5 linked regions of the Cricetulus griseus genome follow. The protein of the gene in region 3 purifies or fractionates together with the protein of the main gene of each other region. This does not show direct contact. Links are inferred from orthologs where the notes say so. Each region holds a gene or a part of one and is shown on either strand. Other genes may lie near its edges. The genes, in order: Cul1, Cdc37, Chek1, Hax1 and Cul4a.

Region 1 (3,511 bases), on a different chromosome or scaffold from region 3:
CTTTGCAGTAAGAGACCTGTTTACAAAAGCTACTCTGTCACACTAAAAAATTAAATAATGGGCAATACCACAATTCAAAACAGGTTATATTTCAAATACTCTTAAGGAGCAAGGAGCTGACCAGGTTTCAGTCACATACTAGATACAAAGAACTGCTACCATTCCACATAAACAACTAACTAGTCCCACTTTAGTTGGGTTTTGAGATATCAGAAATGTGTAATTGGGTTTCAATTTCAGCTTAGAAGGCCCACTTACATGTGCAATGTAAGTGTACCGTATGAAAATGCACTTTGAACACCACAAGCTGGGCATGACTTTTTCTGTAAGTCAGAAGCAGGGTGGTTGGTCTTATGTATTCTTTCTTTGAACCACGGAAGCAATGACTGTACAGTCCATTTCCTGCCCAAGAGAGGGCAAAGCAGGTACTAGACTTGGTCTGAACCAGACTCTTGAAAATCTAGTACATTCAGGAGAGAAGTCACTCTACAGTTGATTGGCAAAATCCTGACACATATTTCTTGTTTATTTACACATTGCCGACTGTTGTGTTATAACAGCAAAGTTGAACAGTGGTGGAAGAGATCATACATAGCACGCAAAGCCTTAAGATATTTACTGCCTGGCAGTATATAACAGAAAGCTTAAAGACTCCTGACATTCCTCAGCCCCTTCATCCAGAATACCTGAATTTTCAAGAAAGAGCAAAGAAAATTCCTATTAGAAGTTCATGGAAGCATCATGTAGTAAAATAATGCTTATAGAATACGATACATAGCTCTTCTCCCAAGTCAGAATTTAGATCCTCCTTCCTAATGTAATCTTAAAGACTAAGCTATAAACTCCTAGGAAATATTTAAGAAAAAAGTAGCAAAAACAAACAAATGAAATAGCTAACAAATCTTGGAATATCTGCTCAATACTATCTCACTGACAAAACTGTGGGGCCCACTAGTCGTCACACTCAAGGGGAGATGGTTCAAAACATGAAGAAGGCATGCAGTTATCAAGGCACCTCCTTAGCTATGCAAAAGGAATGAACACTCACTCATGATTATTATCAATTTGTGAAAGTCCCTTACAGAGTGACAGGAGCTGGATCCATGGGACATAGTGTGACATCAGTGCCAAGCCTGACTTGTGAGGAACACTGCATTGCCAAGAACTCACTAGAGAAGCAATGACTATTTAACTTACATCTACTTTACATACTATGTATGTTTAAGCTTACCTTTTTCATATATTCAGTAACTGGGTTCTGCTGCAAGAATTCAGTACTTTCTCTGGTATAAAATCTCTCTGTGTCAGCCAAAAATTGAGATTCAAAGGATTCTTTATACACTGTTAACGTAGGGCCCTTTGCAAATGCGTCATCTTCATTCAGCCCCAATTCCACTAGAAAGAAATATGAACTATATTTACCCTACTTTTTGTAATATTTCACAGATAATACTTTGGTGTAACATTCAGTTTAAGTTACACTTGAAAGATCAATGTATAATGGAGGGTTTTAAGGTTAACTGTTATTCACTAGTATTGAAATATTCTTATTTTAATAAAAGAGAAATAAAACAATAAACTCCAAGATATATAGGAGTAGATCACCTCTACCTGGGCCAGGGATACTTCACAATTATCACAAGTTCAGTCAGAGAAAGTCTACATTTCCAAAAGTGATCTAAATGTTGTACTGTAAATTTTCACAGAAACACAAACCTACCTGAGCTTGAACAACACATCAGTTAATCAGGGTCTCAATCTTAATTTTTTTTTTTAGATTTTATTTATTTATTATGTATATAACATTCTGTTTCCATGTATATCTGCACACTAGAAGAAGGCACCAGATCTCACAATGGATGGTTGTGAGCCACCATATAGTTGCTGGGAATTGAACTCAGGACCTCTGGAAGAGCAGTCAGTGCTCTTAACCTCTGAGCCATCTCTCCAGCCCCTCAATCTTAATTTTTTAAGCTGATAGGTTTCTGGTTATCATTTAAGTCAAAAACAGTCACATTATATATAAATATTTCCTCATGAAAGCAGCAAAGGAAATAGTTCATTTTTTTTCCAATCAAAATTTCCTTAAAGTACAAAGATTAAATAACTTATGATTTATAAAAGTACTGCTTAAAAGTACCTTAAAAATGGAATAATATTTGTGATATTTAAATGTTTTTAAATGAATGCCAGAATTATCATGATTGCCATGTGATATGAAAACCAAATAAAGACAATTATTTACCATAAGATTGTACAACTCCACTAATCAGTCTTGTGTTGATGGTTTCGCCATTTCTTTCCTTTTCAATCAGTTTTAAAACAGCATTTGTTACCTTTAAGAATACAGAAAAAATATTAGGTAGAAATGTTACAGGTCATATCCTTTAAACATTTAAAGCCATGTTTTAGGGGTATGGGTAAGTACATATATGTACATGTGTGTGGAGGTAGACCAGTGGACAATCTCAAGTATGGCTCCCCGGGAATCATCACCTTGTCTTTTTGAGATGGAGTTTCTCACTGCCATGGAGCTCATTCAGAAGGCTAGGGTGGCACTGGCAGGGAGCCCCAGGGATCTGCTTGACTCTACTCTCCAGTGCCAGGATCACTAGTGGGCATCAACACACCTGCTTTCTTCCATGGGTGCTGGGAATCTACCCCAGGCCCTCATGCTTACATGGCAAGCACTTTACCAACAAAGCCAGGTCCCCAGACCAACAAATACTCTTGAGATAGTTCAAAGGCTTGGGAAGACAACATAGAAATGGGAAATTTTTTTAAAAGGAAAAAAACACATCCATAATAGATACCTGTTTATTCAATGGCCTGAATAAACAATCTCTCCATGTCACCAATGCAAGCTGGATGGAAAAGGGGGAAAGATGCATTAAATAACTGTATTTCACTATGGTTCTCCAAAACCAGTCAGACAATAATTTGAATTCTTAGTTTTACCAAAATTCCTAGATTACAACTCAGTATAAAAAAAACAAAAAAACAAAAAACTTGTATTACAATGAAATCAGCAACCTCTCAAGTGAGTCACTTTGTACAGATGTTTACGAGCTCACATTTTGACAGTGAAGTTCAAAAAGAACATTCTGCTTTAAGGTGAGCACTTCTATCAGCTTAAAAGCCATTAGTAGATTCAACCTATCAATGTATTCCCTGAATCCAACAATTTTAGACCAGATACACCTAATAAAGGTAATTCCAGTCACTACCCAAGTTTCCTAACACATCAAGATAAAAAGAATATAAAAATCTTCTAACTTTGTATCTGGATTATGTATTTTAAGTGCAGTTTCTTGTACATAACTTATTAAAATCTTCTATTGTACTTTTGTCTTCACGTGACTATGTGTGAGACATATATTGTTGTGTGAGCATGTCACATGCTCACATTGTGCCTGAGGATGTACATACATGGATGGAGTCATCTGTCTCCACAGCCCCGATATATGCATTTTAACGTGAATGTATAAACACCACGGCCCACTTTTCCATT
Region 2 (3,511 bases), about 15 Mb from region 3:
AGGCCACTGCTGCTGAGCTACTCCCCTCACATGGCCAGTTGCTGTTGCTCTACCTTGCTCCTGTCCTGGGGAGGTAGAGGACCAGGGGCCCAGGTTCGTTCTCAGCTACACAGAGAAGCAGTTGCTAGTAAGACGAAAAACTGTAAAAATGTGGCATTGGGGCACCAACAAGTAGCTCGTAGCTATGTGGACTGTAGCAAGGACCCAGGGTTTGTCCAACCAGAGTATGTCTAGTCCTCCATGGTAGGCAGGGTGGAAGTTGGGAGGGCAGGACTTAGACTTTGGTGTACACATCTCTTGGGGTCATGTCCGTTGCAGGGATTGAAACCCCAAGGCTGTGGCTGGGCAGGGATCAAGGAACTAAGTTGTTCTTTTGTTTGTTTGTTTGTTTGTTTTTTGTTGTTTTTGTTTTTCGAGACAGGGTTTCTCTGTGGCTTTAGAGGCTGTCCTGGAACTAACTCTTGTAGACCAGGCTGGTCTCAAACTCACAGAGATCCGCCTGCCTCTGCCTCCCAGTGCTGGGACTAAAGGCGTGCGCCACCACTGCCTGGCTTGTTTCTTTTGTTGTTGTTATTTATTTTGAGATGGGGTTTCTCTGTGTAGCCTAGGCTACCCTGGAACTCTTTGTAGACCAGGTTGGCCTCAAACTCAAAGATCCACCTGCCTGTGCCTCCCAAGTGCTGAGACTAAAGGGGAGTGCCACCATGCCGGGCTCCCAAGGGACCAAGTGACCAGCTGCTGGCTGTCCTTGCCCACAGGCCCGAGTGGAGCGCATGGAGCAGTTTCAGAAGGAGAAGGACGAACTGGACCGGGGCTGCCGTGAATGCAAGCGAAAGGTAGCCGAATGCCAACGCAAGCTGAGGGAGCTGGAAGTGGCTGAAGGCGGTGGCCAGGTGGAGCTTGAGCGGCTGCGAGCTGAGGCACAGCAGCTGCGCAAGGAGGAGCGAAGCTGGGAGCAGAAGCTGGAGGACATGCGCAAGAAGGAGAAGAGCATGCCCTGGAACGTGGACACCCTCAGCAAGGACGGCTTCAGCAAGGTGGGCGCAGGCGGGCGGGAGCACTGCAGAGCAGAGCAGAGCAGAGCACTGCAGGGGTGCGGGTGGGTGAGAGCGCTGCAGAGCAGGGTCAGATGTGGGATGCGCATGCTTTGGTGGTGGAGGCTGGACCTGACGGTGAACTATGAAGGCCCTGGGTCCATACCTGTCTCCTCATTCTGACAAGGAGAGGCCGGCAGAGTTATGGGGGGGACAGGTTGATCGTGGGATTGGCCGGTAGAGACCAATGAAGCCCACCCATACCCTCTGATCTGCCCGAAGGCCCGCGGCCACGCCTCTGCCACCTTGATGCACTTAGCGACGCCTCCGCCTCCGATGTGGACAGGATGGGCGCGGCGGCCAAGGCCCCCGCACCCCAGGCGCAACCCTGCCTTGCCCCAGCCCACTTGCCCTCTCGCCCTGTCACAGAGCATAGTCAATATCAAGCCTGAGAAGGCAGAGGAAGACTCAGAGGAGGCAAGAGAGCAGAAACACAAGACCTTCGTTGAAAAGTACGAGAAACAGATCAAGCATTTCGGTAAGTGCCTGCACGGGGCCTGCAGTTGGGAGTCAAGGCCAGGAAAGGGCTTCCCACAGCCTCTGCAACACCCTTCCCTGCAGGCATGCTCCACCGCTGGGATGACAGCCAGAAGTACCTGTCAGACAATGTCCACCTGGTGTGCGAGGAGACCGCCAACTACCTGGTTATCTGGTGCATTGACCTGGAAGTGGAGGAGGTGAGTATAGCCTGGCCCAGCTTCAGAAAGACTCCCAGACACTGCCTCTCGGTGACACCCCACCTTTGTCCTGGCAGAAATGTGCACTGATGGAGCAGGTAGCTCACCAGACCATGGTGATGCAGTTCATTCTGGAGCTGGCCAAGAGTCTGAAGGTCGATCCCCGTGCCTGCTTCAGGCAGTTCTTCACCAAGATCAAGGTATGGACTCCTGTACCACCAGAAAGCTCACAGTGTACACACAGACTAGGGGCCTGTGGTTAGATCTTTTATTGGGAGGGCGCAGAGTGGTGCGGAGATTACAGTGGCCAAATATGGCCTTATTTATTTCTTTTTAATCTTTAAAATTGTGTGCATGCATGTATGTATGTTATATATGTTTGTATGGTTTGTGTGTATGTGGACTCATGGTCAGGGGACAACTTTGGAATTGATTCTCTCCTTCCACCTTTGTGTGGGCTCTAGTGATCAAACATGCTGTTGGCCTTGCGTGGCAAACACTTCACTCACTGAACCACCTTGCTGACACTATTTAAGATTTTTTTTTAATTTACTTTACATATTTATTTATTGTTGGTGTGTGTGTGCCTGAGTCTGTGTGCAAGCAAGTGTCTCCAGAGGCTAGAAGAGGCTGTTAGATCCCTGGAGCTGGAGCTCCTGGTATATGATCCTCTGAAAGGCCGGGGATCCTGAGAGTGGGGCAGGCAGGAACAATCCAGAACTGAGGTGCCTGTAAGGCCTTGCTGGAAGACACCTGAAGGTGTAGTACCAGGCCTGTGCTGTTTAGCTGGGCCTGGCAGTTGGCCATTAGTAGATGGGCCCACAAGACAGTAGCAAGGGGCACTGAGTACAGAGAGCAAGGCCAAGCCTTGAGGTGCCTGTGGGAAGTTCAGGAAAAGCCTTGGGGAGCCCCAGAAGGCTTCCAAAAGCTGCAGACAGGGACCTTACCACCTAAAGACCTGGGTGTCAACTGCCCAGTGAATAGCGCCCACCGTCTTCTGCAGACCGCCGACCAACAGTACATGGAGGGCTTCAAATACGAACTGGAGGCCTTTAAGGAGCGTGTGCGGGGCCGTGCCAAGCTGCGCATAGAGAAGGCCATGAAGGAGTACGAGGAGGAGGAGCGCAAGAAGAGGCTGGGCCCTGGTGGCCTGGACCCCGTGGAGGTCTATGAGTCCCTGCCTGAGGTGTGACTCCCCAGAGCCCAGGAGGGAGGAGGGTGATCTGTGAATGTTGTCAACCTCCCCACACCCACTAGCCCAGGTCCTCACCCTACCCCTCTGTACCCCAGGAACTGCAGAAGTGCTTTGATGTGAAGGACGTGCAAATGCTGCAAGATGCCATCAGCAAGATGGATCCCACTGTGAGTTCCCATATGTGGCCCTGGTGCCTGTGTCTAGACATGGTCCCCAAGGTTCTGCAACAGACGGGAAGGAATGGCCTCTGGGTGGGCCTGGTGGTGCTAACCTGTCATCTCAAGAGGCTAAGAGCAGTGTGTTGTAAGTTCAAGGCCAAGCTTAGACAGGATGAGTTCAAGATGAGCCAGAGCAGCTCAGTGAAACCCTGTCTCAAAATAGCAATAAGAAGATGGGGTGTAGCTCAGTGGTTGAGTCCTTGCCTGGTATGTGTGGGACTCTGGTTCCATCCCAGCAGCACAAAATAACAAAACAAAACTAGTGTCCCTCTTGGGCTTCTCTAAGAAAGGAGAGGTGTGCCAGGCGGTGGTGGCCCACAGCTTTGA
Region 3 (4,298 bases):
CAGTACTCCAGAAATAGATACTGGATATTGCCTTCCCTCCTGTGACCATAGAATTTCACTACATTCTCATGATTTAACATCTTATTGATACAGATCTCTTTCTTAATATTTTCTGGACAGTCTATGGCCCGCTTCATGTCTACAATTTTCACTGCAACAGCCTCTTCAGTTATTCTATTCACAGCAAGTTGAACTCTTTAAAGAGAAAGAGAGAGAGTGTATGTTAAAAATTTCCACATCTGAATTCCATTTCTCCTAAAACTTCAAAAGAATAGTGATACATGCCTGTAATTCCAGCATTCTGGAGACAAAGGCAAAAGGGTCCAAGTTCAAGGCCAGACTGCGCTACAAAGAAAGAAACTCTCTAAAACAAACCAAATAAAACAAACAAGCAAACGCAGCCCCACCTCCCACCCACAACTAGCAGGGTGTAGTGGCACATGTCTTTAATCCCAGTACTGGAGAAGCAGAGACAGGCAGAGCTCTTGAAATTTGAGGCAGGCAGCTACACAATGAGACAACTCTCTGCAAACAAAACAGGGAAGGGACAGAAGTGGGGAGCATCTGGCTGGAGAGATGACTCAGTAGTTAAGTGCACTTGCTTCTGACCTGGGTACAGTTCCCAGCACCTACACTGTAGTAGCTCATAACCATCTTTAATCCCAGGTGTGGGGGATCCCACCTTCTGCTGGCCTTGGTCAGTAGTGTACACATGTAGTACACTAATGTGTAGATAAACACTCATACATATAGAAATGCATAAATCTTTTTTTAAAGATTTATTTATTATGTATACAGTGTTCTGCCTGCATGTATGCCTGCAGCTGGAGGAGGGTACCAGATCTCATTACAGATGGTTGTGAGCCACCATATGGTTGCTGGGAATTGAACTCAGGACCTTTGGAAAAACAGGCAGAGCTCTTAACTGCTGAGCCATCTCTCTCCAGCCCTCTAAAAATGCATAAACCTTAAAAAGAAAAAACTTCAAAAGATAAAATATAATACTTCACAAAATATTTTTCCTTCACTATTTTTTTCAAGGAAAATGACATGGTTTCTGCTATGTTCTCAAAAGAAATGAAAGGAAATGTGAAGTATTACAGTTAAAGCTCCAAGAAAGTCATTACCTAGTGCATGCAGGTAGATACTATCAGGTAGGTACTATCAACTCTATCTTCAGACAAGGAAACACAGGCACATAAAGCTTGCTCAAGGACACAAAACACAAACAGGATCTGCAAAGTCTGAGGATCTGCTAAGGTAGGATGCCTCCAGGGACTTTTCATTATCTCATTTAAATTCTAAGACACACGGTTTTATAGGGAAAAAACTAATAGTCTTGTAATTCTTAGGAAAAGAAAATTTTTTAAAAAGCTGGGTTGACTTAAAGCAGGCTTGTAATACCTGTGTAAGCAACAGTGTACCACAAGTTCAAGGCCAACCTGACAATTTAATAAAATGTTCAACTGAACAAACACAAATTAAAGAAATGGGGGGGTGTTGTTGTTTGTTTGTTGTTTTTAAGGCCTAGGGCTGTAGCTCAGTGGTAGAGCATTCACCCAGCATGTGTGACACCCTAGGTTCAATTCCCCAGTATCACAAAATAGGCCAAGTGGGTGAGTATATGTAACTTCACTTGCTAAGAGCCTTGATTTACAAATGCAAATATCCATTCTCTTTGCCACTTGTAATAAAGGATTTTTTTTTATGTCTACTCAAAACTGCAGATGGAAAACTAAAGCAAGCACACTGGCAAGATAAAATTTAAACTAGGGAAGCCATAAAGATAATGGCTAAGCAGGTAAAGCCACTTGCTGATAATCCGAGTTCAATTCTCTGAACTCTCATGGGAACCAACTCCTACAAGTTGTCCTCTGACCTCCACGTGCTCACCGTGACATAACAAACACACACTAATAAATGTAATAAAAAATTTAAATGAGGGCTCAAACTTACTCTCCATAGGCACCTTCTCCCAAAGTTTGCACCAAGTCCCAGTCTTCCACAAATGGTACTGCCATGACTCCAAACACAGCGGCTGTAAAATGCAGGATCCCAGGAAATACGGGGGATGAGTGTGAATTCTCATCACTTGAAATGCCACTGAGCCATGCCTCTTGCCTTGATTCCACACAACTTTGGTTTGCCCTTACATCCCATCCATATTTGCCCAAGTCACAATACTAAATTTAGGCATGTTTGCCCTGTATATCACAACTCCTGTTCAGCCACGTTTGTCCACCGCCTTTATGCACAACTGAACACTAGCTGGGATCGGAGGCTGGGAGACAAAGGCTTCCCGGAGAATGGCCGGGGGGAGGAGTAGCGGGCAGAGAGCGCAGGGGTGGGGGACAGGGGACGTAGGTGTGAGTAACTACCGTAATTACTGACAGCGCAGCCCCTCCTCCCATCCGCTCCCTTTCAATTTCCACCCAACGGCACGTGTCCCCAAGACGCGGAGGGAAGGGGGCGGGGCCGAACTGTGGAGCGAGCGGAAGGCAGGGACCCCAAGAGCCGGAAAGGTGTGCGAACTCTGAAGGCTCACAGACAGCTCTGTTCCCTTTACGCTGAAGAGCCGCGGGCCACCAGCTCCAGCCCGCACGCCGGGAGGCCCTCCCATCTCTCCGGTCGTCACGACCACTCCCTCACCGTGCCCGTCCGCACTAATCAAGACCTCCGAGTCCTTCGCAGGAGTCCTTTCCCACCGTTCGGGACGCTCTTCTCGCCAAGCAGTCCTTTGCCAGCTGCCACAGGACTCCAAATGCAGAACTTTTCCCGCCAAAACTTGCTTGCGTCATGCTGTCGCAAACGCGCGCACCTTTGCCGTAAAGCGGGCCGGCGCGCGTTATTCTATCGTGGGCTCTGCTGAAGAGCAGCTTCAGCAGGCCTAGCCGGAAAGGGCTCCTCCTCCTAGCCCTGGCCTCGGCCGGCTGGAGGTCTCATGCGGCCGTGGTCAGAGACCCGCAGACGAGATTTGGTGCTGACGACAGCCTTGGTGAGAATTGTTCTCAGAGTCCCAGACTGAAGTGGTATCCGGTGTGTGCTCCGCTGGACGCCCTACGTTGTTCCAGAGAGGCGCCGGAGCCTCCAGCCAGACCGAGCGTCACTTGGGCGCAGGTCAAGCACCGGGTTCCTTGCAGCAAGGGCTGCACCGTTAACAATGTAAACCGACCAGCTCGTGACCTCGGAGCCCCTGCTAGGAAGGGTTTGCGAAGCTAAACTGAGCGCCACAAAGTGCTCTGTAAACGCTACTTAGTATTCGAGCTTAGAAGCTAGCAACTGTTCTTGGAATTGATCCTTAAAAAAAAAAAAAAATGAAGGAAAGCCAGGTGTGGTGGTGTGTGCCTGTAATCGTATTAGTATGCAAGAAAATAGCGTGTTTGCCGGGCGGTGATGGCGCAGGCCGTTAATGTCAGCACTCGGGAGGCAGAGGCCGGATCTCCGTGAATTCGAGGACAGCCAGGGCTACACAGAGAAACCCTGACTCGAAAAAAAAAAAAAAAGAAAGAAAGAAAATAGCGAGTTCTCAAGGCCAGCCCCGGTTATGCAAAGAAACAAAAAATAGTTTTTAAAAGGACCACACAGCCTCGGGTACGAGGGGGCAGGACGAAGACAGTATTTGGAGTTTACAATCCAGTCAGGATCACCAATTTTGCCTGCACAGGCTCCAAAACTAATTCAGTCTCACCCGTTTGTAGGAAGACCATTTGCCTAGCTTAGTTTTACTAGCTTTCTAGTTCTTAAAAGAGCATGAGGGCCCACACCTCTAAATGCCACACTCCAGAGCTGAGGCACAGCCAGATGCTCCTTCAAACAGCAAGGTAGACATGGTGGTGATTTGCCTGCAGCCAAGGCCTGCTTCAGGTTCATCATCCTGAGACAAAAAGTATGACTCTGTCTGTCTTTAAAAGGAGGTGGGTAGAGTAGCACAATAAATATTTGAGTAACTGGGCTAGGCATGTGGCATAATGGTAGAGTACTTGCCAAGCATGCAGAAGGCCCAGTGAGAAATGTCAATTCTCAAGGAAAAGACTTGGGTACAAACTGAAACTTTGTGCTGGCTTTGCCACGAGCTACATCTCTCTCTCTACAAAAATCTGTCAAAAGTGAAGGGTGAAACACCTGCAAATATTTATATATGAAAAGCATAAACCATGACATTAGTTATAGGAATGATGTAATGAAAACAAGTTTATAGATCATTTCCCATTCCTTTGTAATTTCCTGTCTGTGTTTTGAAATAAAAGAATATAAAGAAGACCCAGGAAGTTCCTATATTCATGAATGGAATGTCATCA
Region 4 (4,039 bases), on a different chromosome or scaffold from region 3:
AACTAAAGCTCAAGCGGCTTTCCCTTTATAGAAGTAGACTGCAGTAGTTTTTGTTCCTTGAGTTTTGTTTTTGAGACAGTCTTATTGTGTGACCCTGGCTGGCCTGTAACTTGGTATGGAGACCAAGCTGATCTCAAATTCAGAGGTCTGCCTGCCTCTGCCTATTAGGTGATGAGGTTAAAGATTCTCAACAAACACCATACCCTGCTTTGCCTATTTTATGTGGCCTTAGAAATGCCCAATTTCTGGGAAAGGGTTGGATGATGTAGAGCAAGACCTGTGGTGGGGCATTGTGGTAAAAAGTTTTGAACCTCAATTACATGGGAAGGGGAGTTTTATTTTCTTTAGAAGAGCCTGAGACTTACCGTATTGCCAAGGATTCAAGAGATTCGTTCGGCTTCAGACTTCCCAAACTGCAAGTATGGCTTGGGAAGTGAGGGTGTGTCCAGGTCTCATGTAGCTCAGGCTGGCATTGAACTCGTTGTGTAGACCAGGTTGGCTTCATACTGAGATCCACCGGTCTCTGCCTCTTGAGCCTGCACCACTGATTCTAACTATAGAGTCTTTGTTCTTTTCCAAGATGCTTCAGTAGTTACTCTTCCCTGCCTAGTATAAATCTTACCTTGTTGGTTGTAGTCTGTTTTTTTAAAAGTTTAAAAGAGTAGCTAGGCATGGTAGCAACGGCCTATAATCCCAGCATTTGGGAGGCAGAGTCAGGTGGATCTCTTGAGTTCGAGGCAGGCCTAGTCTATAGAGTTCCAGGACAGCAGAGAAACCGTGTGTCGAATAAACACGTTTAAAATAAATTTTTATGGCCCGAACTAACTCCTTAGTAGCTGAAGAGATTCCTAGCATCCTCATGTCTTTATCCAGCAGTAGGGAAATTGCCCTGGAAGGAGCTTAGTAAAACATTTCCCAACCTGTAGTGTTGGACGTCACATCAGTCTAGAAACAAACAAAGTGGGGGTGTTTTCTGAGCCGGGGTCCAGGCGGGGCTCGGGACAGGCCGCTCCCTTTGGCGGCTAACTTGGAACCATCCAGAGAGTAACGGAAACACCCCTTGGGGACTGGCAGATGGGCGGGAAAGAGAATCACTAGAAGGGGTGTGATCTTGGACAGCGGGGATCCGTAAGCCCACCCTCACTCAAAACTGAAAGGTAGCGTATAAGAAGCTTCGCGTCGGAGGAGCGCCGTCAGCCCCGCCTCTTCCTTCTCCGGGTTTCGGCCTTTTTACGACAATGCCGTGTTGCAGACTTGCTTTCCGGCAGCGAATGCTGAACCCTGGCTGTATCTGACAGGGTAGCGCAAGCTGGCAGTCGAGTGGTTCTCATGTCCTGCCGAAGTTTAAAGTTTCTAGGGCACCTACAGGAATGAGCTTCTTTGACCTTTTCCGGGGCTTTTTCGGCTTTCGTGGACCTCGGAGGTGAGCGTAGTTCTGGGCTGGACCTGAGGAAGCGGTGTTCTTTGGGGACGCTTGACCCCTTCACCGTATTTTTGGAAAGCTTCCTTCCCCGCTCCCTTCAACTCCTGCTGAGAGGATAGAAATCTCAACCTTGAGTACTCACCACGCCACAGTAACCAAAGCGGTGTGAAGAGGAGAGAAACAGTGCCTTTCTCCAGAGTGGGGTGATGCAACAGGGAGCTGGGCGGAGAAGACAATGGGGGCCTGGGGAATGAGCAAGTGAGAGGGACCTTAAGGGGCAATTAGGAGTGCGCAGTCAGACACTGAAGACAAGCCACGGGAGGCGTTTGCGAGGTGTGGGGGGCGGGGGTTGTCATGGGCTCTAATTAGAGACAATACAAAACCCTAATAGATCCACGAGCTTTGTTTTGACTTGGAAGGGAGCTCTCCAGTGTTTTCTTCAGCTACCTAGACCCCAACCTTTTGTCCCCATTTTACTGGCCTTGGGTTGGTTTTATTGCTTAGACAGTGCTGAAATCTTCGTGGCTTATCTGCCTCTGCTCTCAGCCACAGAGATCCCTTCTTCGGAGGGATGACTCGAGATGATGACGATGATGATGACGAAGAGGAAGAAGACAGAGGCACGTGGGGTCGAGGGAGCTATAGGTTTGATGGTTCTCAGCCTCCGGAGGAATTCGGTTTCAACTTCAGCCCAGAAGAAGGCATGCGATTCCACGACAACTTTGGCTTTGATGATCTAGTACGAGATTTCAATAGCATCTTCAGTGAGATGGGGGCCTGGACCTTGCCTTCCCACTCTCCTGGTGTGTAGATTCTCCTGAGGGAGAATATTGGGTTAGGGAGCGAAATACGGACCTTGCAGAGTAGTTGGGGATATGCTAAAGCTGATTTCAAAAAGATTTTGTGTGTTTTAAGCCCTTTCCTATCCTAGTATCACCAGCCAACTTTTTTACAGAACTTCCAGGTCATGGGTCAGAAACACCTGGTGAGAGACCGCGGGAAGGGCAGACGCTTCGGGACTCAATGCTTAAGTACCCAGACAGTCACCAACCCAGGATCTTTGAGGGGGTCATGGAGAGTCATCCAAGACCTGAATCCCCCAAACCAGCTCCAGATTGGGGGTCTCAGGGACCTTTTCATAGGGTGAGTACTCTGCACCTGAAGTGCAGTAACTACAACTCTTACTGGAATTTCTTAGAGTTGAGTTAGAATTCTAGCCCCTCTAATTAGTGCATTTGTCTGGATTTTCTTCTTTGTTGGGCTTTTTGTTTTGAGACTTGGGATTCACTGTGTAGACCAGACTGGCCTCAGGTTTAGAGATCTGCCTGTCTCTGCATCAGGATTAAAATGTGCCAGCACACCTAGCCTAAGGTTTATTTATTTTTTCTTATGTAGGACTGTTTTTTTCAGTGCATGTGGAGCATGTTTTTGCTCCACATGTGCCTGGTACTCATAGAGGTCAGGAGAGGGCATCGAATACCCGGGAACTCCAATTATAATGATTGAGAACCACCATGCTGGGATCTATACACTATGGTTTTCTGCAATAGTGCCCCCTGCCCTCTCTTTTTATTTTATTTATATATGTATTTTGAGACAAGATCTCTCTGTGGCCTTAGCTGTCCTGGAACTTGCTATGTAGACCATGCTGGCCTCCCTTGGCCCTGAGTTTCTTTGTTTGGTTTTTTGTTGCTGTTTGTTGTTCTTAAGATTTATTTATTTTAGCCGGGCGTTGGTGGTGCATGTCTTTATTCCCAGCACTCGGGAGGCAGAGGTAGGCAGATCTCTGTGAGTTCGAGGCCAGCCTGGTCTATAGAGCAAGTTCCAGGATAGGCTCCAAAGCTACACAGAGAAACCCTGTCTCAAAAAACAAAACAAAACAAAAAATTATTTATTTTGCGTATGTGTGTCTGAGTTTTTTGTGTACCATATGAGTGCCTGCAGTGTTGAGGTATTGTTGAATCCTGTGGAGCTCTGAGCTGCTTGATATCCCCAGAAAAAGCAAGTGTTCTTAATCTATGGGCCGTCTTTCTAGCCCCTTTGTTTCTGTTTTCCATTTGCAATACAGGAGCATAGAATACAAAAGGGAAATGTAAATATTCTGCTTTTTTTAATTGCTAGTTACAATTCTTGATTAAGAAAGGGTCTTGAGAGCTGGGCTGTGGTGGCACACGCCTTTAATCCCAGCACTTGGGAGGCCGAGGCAGGCGAATCTCTGTGAGCCCAGGCCAGCCTGGTCTACAAAGCTACACAGAGAAACCTTGTCTCAAGGTAGGGGTAGTCTTGAGGCTGGGCATGGTGTTGCCCACTTTTAATCCCAGCACTCCTGAGGCAGAAGCAAACTTATTTCCTTGAGTTCAAGGCCAACCTGTCTAGACAAAAAAACCCTGCCTGGAACGAACACACACACACACACACACACACACACACACACCAAGGTGGGGGGGGGGCATCTTGAGCAGGGCAAGGTGGTGCACACCTTTGATCCTAGCACTAGGGAAGTAGAGGCAGGCAAGTTTCTGTCAGTTTGAGGCCAGCCTAGTCTATAGAATGAGTTCTAGGATAAGAAACCCTGTCTTGAAAAAAAAAAACAGTCTTGAAGATGCAGGAAAGTAT
Region 5 (4,241 bases), on a different chromosome or scaffold from region 3:
CAAGATTCATAAACATCCATGAGCAGCAATGTCATCCGTTAAAACGTCCATCAGACTTTCCCACCTGGCTGTCCCTTGCACCAGGTGTGCTGAATAGTGGGATTCATACCTCTCTCGTCCTAGGTTAGCGGAGAAAACGCAAACTCAACCCTCAACCCAGATGCAACGCTGCTTGCCTGTGCCATTCGCGGGCCTTGAGCAGAGGGACACCTCTCTTAAGACCCAGTGTGCTTCGGTGCAGACAGTGCTACACGAACAGCCGCTTTTACAAGTGGCCTCGATTCTGCTACCTCCACCTCGAATCCTCCTCCGTCCCAGATCCGGCGGGAAGCACTTGCAACTTTTGAGCAAAGCCTGCTGCCCGCCCCATGCAGCAAACGTTCTTCACCTCAAAGGCAGCCGCAGACCTCCCCCCTCCACCGGTCCCGGACCTATCTGACCCAGCCCCAGAACCCACCCTCGTGGCCACTAAACAAGGATACCGGGCAACCCACCTGCTGTAGGTACTGGTTAATGGTGATGTGCGCCATAGCAGCGGCCGCGGGCGTTAAGCACCTCACTTCCGGCGCAGGTCCGTCTCAGCTCCTTGTCCCTACACTGTATTTCCCGCACGTTTTTGATTCCGGAACCGGTGGCGCAAACTGAACGAAGCTGGCCCGAGCACTCCCCTCCTAGAGCTGTCAGTGCTCGGGGTGCAGTCACTGAGGTGTCTCAGCTCGGGCGGGGGCGTGAGCAAAGGACGGGGGACTGACGTGGAGGAGTTCCAACCGACTTGGGAACGTATCCCCGCGTCCCGATCACGTCCTGTGTCCTAGCGACTCCCCGTGTCTCTCATCCCTTCGATCCTCACTTTGCAGAGACGCTCCCGGCTCGCACACCCTCAAGTGCACAGAACAAAAGTCAACCCCACTTGGGAACACGTCCCCGTGCTCTCCTAGCCCTCGCTGGAGATGTCCCCGAGTCCTCCCACCCCCTCACTGGGGCATCCCAGAGCAACGGGTGTGGAGTATCCGGTTGTCACGGAGCATCCCTGAGCCCTAGGTGTGGGGCTGCCCCAGAGGCAGGGTGGTGGGGTGCTCCTGTTCGCCCACGTCTCCCGGGTGTCCCCAGCCCTCGTCGTGACGTCGAACACCAAGCTCCCGGAACGCTCGGTGCGGGGTGTCACGGCGCCCTCTCGCGAGCATTCGTCGTAGAACGTCCGCGGGTGCCGAACCCTCCAGGCGCGGCCGCGTACGCCGGAGCCCTCACTGGGCGGAGTCCGCGCGCCCGAGCCGGATCATTCCGGTGCGCGCCGCGGCGGTTGGGCCTCGGGCGCGCGGACCGGGCCGCGAGCAGCAGGAGGAGGAGCCGAGCGCTCACGGGCGGAGCCCGACAGGAGGAGGAGGAGCCGGGCGCGCACGGACCGGGCGCAGGGCAGGAGGAGGAGCCGGGCGGCGCGGGGCGGGGCGGCGTCCGGCCCAGCCATGGCGGACGAGGGCCCGCGGAAGGGCAGCGTCTCGGCTCTCATGGGCCGCACCAACGGCCTCACCAAGCCCGCGGCGTTGGCCGGTGGCCCTGCCAAGCCGGGGGGCGCGGGCGGCTCCAGGAAGCTGGTCATCAAGAACTTCCGAGGTGGGTGCGCTCCGGTGAGGAGCGAACGGGGCGTCCGTCAGGTCGCGCGCTCGGACAGGGCCTCCTGGGGCTGCCCAGCCGGCCCTGTCCCCGCGCCCCAGCCCGCCTTGTTCCCGCACTGTCCTGTTCCGGCGCTCCAGCCTGACTTGTCCCCGCACCTCATGCTCCGCCACGTCCCCGCGCCCCAGCTGGCCCTGACCCCGCACCTCCTGGCTGGCTCTGCTGGGCCCTGCCTCGGTGCCCCGGCCTGTCTTGTCCCCGCGCGGCCGTTGACCCTCTCTCCCCACAGACAGGCCGCGGCTGCCTGACAACTACACTCAGGACACGTGGCGGAAGCTTCACGAAGCGGTCAAGGCCATCCAGAGCAGCACATCCATCAGGTACAACCTGGAGGAGCTGTACCAGGTGAGCGGCGGCGAGGGCCTGCGAGCACCTGGCTGTTTTCCTCCTCTCACAGCCACGGTCGCCGCCGATGCTAGGGAGGCCCGCCTGCCGGGGGGGAGGGGGAATGGGGGGAGAGGCTGCGGTCCGAGCCTTCCCTAGAGGAAGCCTCGAAGCCCTCGGTCAGCAGGTGTTTCAGTATATGGTCGCCCTGGATGAGTGCTATGTTGAGGCTTACATCGGGCTGCTTAGGTGTAAGTTTTCCCATCCCCAGGAGAAAGGAGGTGTGGGGGCTGCGAGCCACAGGGCTCCAGTGATCTCCAGTGTTATCAGAACGTTAGATTGTTACACATAAAACTCAGTATGCTAGGAGGATCCTTGTGTCGTCGTCGTCGTCGTCGTCTCTCCCCCCCCCACACACACTGTGGTTTAATTGTTGCAAATAAGGTTTGCAGATTCTGGTAGTTTTAATTTAAAGATAGTGTCTACAGCAGGAAAAAAAAAAAAAGGCCAAAAGTACATCTTGTTTTTTCAGGCAGACTTTTCTGTCGTGGTTTTATACAGTAATGTTCACTAAATAGTCTGTTTTAGGTAATGATATAGCATATATATAATTAATTACACTAAAGTCATGAACTTACCGGTTTGTTTTATCCTGGTTACAAAATGAATTTATGTAAGTTATAGAAAGTACAAAAAGAAAAGTAAGCAGTAGTACCCAAGGGAAATTGTTACAGGTTGAGCACTCCTGATCCAAAACTTCCCCAATCCAAAACTTTTAGCACTCACATGAAAAAAGATCCACGGCTGACCTCGTCTGACTGGACTCAGACAGAACACAATGTATGCTAAAACTGTTGTATAAAATTACTTCAAGCTAGGGCCAGTGAGATGACTCAGTGGGTAAAGCTCTTGCCGAACAAGCTTGGCAACCAGTGGTCGAACCTCAGAACCCTCAGAAAGGTAGAAGAAAACTGACTGCAGAGAGGATGTCCTTTGGCCTCCAGTCAAGCCGTGGCACAAGCACCCACACATAACGCATCATGCACACACACAATGGTAAAAATAAAAAAATAAAAACAGACCTTCAAATTGTGTTCAGGGTATATGAGATATGAATTAATTTTGTGTTTAGACCTGAGTCTCATTCCCCCAAATAAATCATTATGCATATTCAAGTATCAAATCCAGGAGAAAAAAAAAATCTGTAATCCAAAACACTGCTGGTCCCAAGCATTTTGGGTGAGGGGCGACCAACCTGTAGTGATAGAGTGAGGTACATGTGTCCGTTCTTTGTCTTAAGTTTGTGAGTTGATTGTGTATTGAGGGTGAAGGTTTTTTTAAGGTTTTTATTTTGTTTAGACAGGGTCTCACTGTATAGCCCTGGCTGGTCTGGAATTCACTATGTAGATCAGGTGGCCTTGAACTCTCAGAGATCCACCTGCCTTTGCTCCTGAGCTTTGGGATTAGGGCTTCACCTGCCTGACAATGTACTTTTATTATTTTAAGTATGTGGGTATGAAGTTTGGGGGCAGGCCTGGAGGCCAGAAGTATTAGATACCTCTAGAGCCTGGGTGTAAGTGGTTGTGAGCCTCTTGAAATAGGTACTGGGAACCAATCCCAGGTCCTCATGTACTCTAAACCACTGAGCCATCTCTCCAGACCTCTACCCCACTCACTTTGTCTTTGAGTGAGAGTCTTGCTACACAGTGCTGGCTGACTTAGTTACTTGCTATGTATTCCAGCCTATGTATAACTTACAGCAGTCCTCCTGCCTCAGCTTTCCACATGGTTGAATGTGCCACCATGCCCCGATAATTTTTTAATCAGCTTTTTTGAAGTGTAATTTACATATAACTTGTGCTCCAGTAGGTTTTTTTTTTGGGGGGGGAGCGGGGTAAGGGGAATTGACTGGCTTTATTTTTTAAGAGTTTCACTGTGTAGCCCAGGCTGCCCAAACTCAAGGTAATCTTCCTGTGGGGTTACAGGCTTACACTAACATGCTTGTTCCAGTAAATGTTAATGGCCTAATATGCAGTTGTTTTGCCACCCCCGCCCCTGAAAATGTAGACTTTTTCCATCCCTGACAAAGAACTACAGCTCCTTGCAGCCATCCCTTCCCCATCTCCTCCCTTGGCAGCCAGTACTCTGCTCTGGGTTACTCTGCCATTTCTATCTAAAAGGAATCTTGCATTTGCCATCTCTTGTTATCTGGCTTTTATTTGGAATAGTGCTTTGCAGTTTACACA

The links.
Region 1: the proteins of Chek1 (region 3) and Cul1 purify together in Homo sapiens (affinity purification with western blotting; 6 studies listed by BioGRID and IntAct, with this or other methods). This does not show direct contact. The link is inferred for Cricetulus griseus from reciprocal best matches to the Homo sapiens genes CHEK1 and CUL1.
Region 2: the proteins of Chek1 (region 3) and Cdc37 purify together in Homo sapiens (affinity purification with mass spectrometry; 3 studies listed by BioGRID and IntAct, with this or other methods). This does not show direct contact. The link is inferred for Cricetulus griseus from reciprocal best matches to the Homo sapiens genes CHEK1 and CDC37.
Region 4: the proteins of Chek1 (region 3) and Hax1 purify together in Homo sapiens (affinity purification with mass spectrometry; 3 studies listed by BioGRID and IntAct, with this or other methods). This does not show direct contact. The link is inferred for Cricetulus griseus from reciprocal best matches to the Homo sapiens genes CHEK1 and HAX1.
Region 5: the proteins of Chek1 (region 3) and Cul4a purify together in Homo sapiens (affinity purification with western blotting; 4 studies listed by BioGRID). This does not show direct contact. The link is inferred for Cricetulus griseus from reciprocal best matches to the Homo sapiens genes CHEK1 and CUL4A.

What each region holds. Positions count from the first base shown.
Region 1 is NW_023276806.1:222,445,051-222,448,561, forward strand, and holds part of Cul1 (cullin-1), read right to left. Parts: intron 2,865-3,511; coding exon 2,814-2,864; intron 2,337-2,813; coding exon 2,246-2,336; intron 1,396-2,245; coding exon 1,232-1,395; intron 1-1,231. UniProt on the Homo sapiens protein: Core component of multiple cullin-RING-based SCF (SKP1-CUL1-F-box protein) E3 ubiquitin-protein ligase complexes, which mediate the ubiquitination of proteins involved in cell cycle progression, signal transduction and transcription.
Region 2 is NC_048597.1:133,999,811-134,003,321, reverse strand, and holds part of Cdc37 (hsp90 co-chaperone Cdc37), read left to right. Parts: intron 1-758; coding exon 759-1,037; intron 1,038-1,316; coding exon 1,317-1,572; intron 1,573-1,655; coding exon 1,656-1,771; intron 1,772-1,848; coding exon 1,849-1,971; intron 1,972-2,774; coding exon 2,775-2,957; intron 2,958-3,061; coding exon 3,062-3,133; intron 3,134-3,511. UniProt on the Homo sapiens protein: Co-chaperone that binds to numerous kinases and promotes their interaction with the Hsp90 complex, resulting in stabilization and promotion of their activity. Inhibits HSP90AA1 ATPase activity.
Region 3 is NC_048597.1:148,682,874-148,687,171, forward strand, and holds the start of Chek1 (serine/threonine-protein kinase Chk1), read right to left. Parts: upstream 2,801-4,298; 5' UTR 2,650-2,800; intron 2,439-2,649; exon of another isoform or gene 2,039-2,438; 5' UTR 2,022-2,038; coding exon 1,957-2,021; intron 346-1,956; exon of another isoform or gene 286-345; intron 196-285; coding exon 1-195. UniProt on the Homo sapiens protein: Serine/threonine-protein kinase which is required for checkpoint-mediated cell cycle arrest and activation of DNA repair in response to the presence of DNA damage or unreplicated DNA.
Region 4 is NW_023276806.1:64,555,077-64,559,115, forward strand, and holds the start of Hax1 (HCLS1-associated protein X-1), read left to right. Parts: upstream 1-1,230; 5' UTR 1,231-1,370; coding exon 1,371-1,423; intron 1,424-1,969; coding exon 1,970-2,226; intron 2,227-2,378; coding exon 2,379-2,566; intron 2,567-4,039. UniProt on the Homo sapiens protein: Recruits the Arp2/3 complex to the cell cortex and regulates reorganization of the cortical actin cytoskeleton via its interaction with KCNC3 and the Arp2/3 complex. Slows down the rate of inactivation of KCNC3 channels. Promotes GNA13-mediated cell migration.
Region 5 is NW_023276807.1:67,672,680-67,676,920, reverse strand, and holds the start of Cul4a (cullin-4A), read left to right. Parts: upstream 1-1,435; 5' UTR 1,436-1,463; coding exon 1,464-1,611; intron 1,612-1,900; coding exon 1,901-2,016; intron 2,017-4,241. Other genes in the region: Pcid2 (PCI domain-containing protein 2), read right to left, coding at 495-530. UniProt on the Homo sapiens protein: Core component of multiple cullin-RING-based E3 ubiquitin-protein ligase complexes which mediate the ubiquitination of target proteins. As a scaffold protein may contribute to catalysis through positioning of the substrate and the ubiquitin-conjugating enzyme.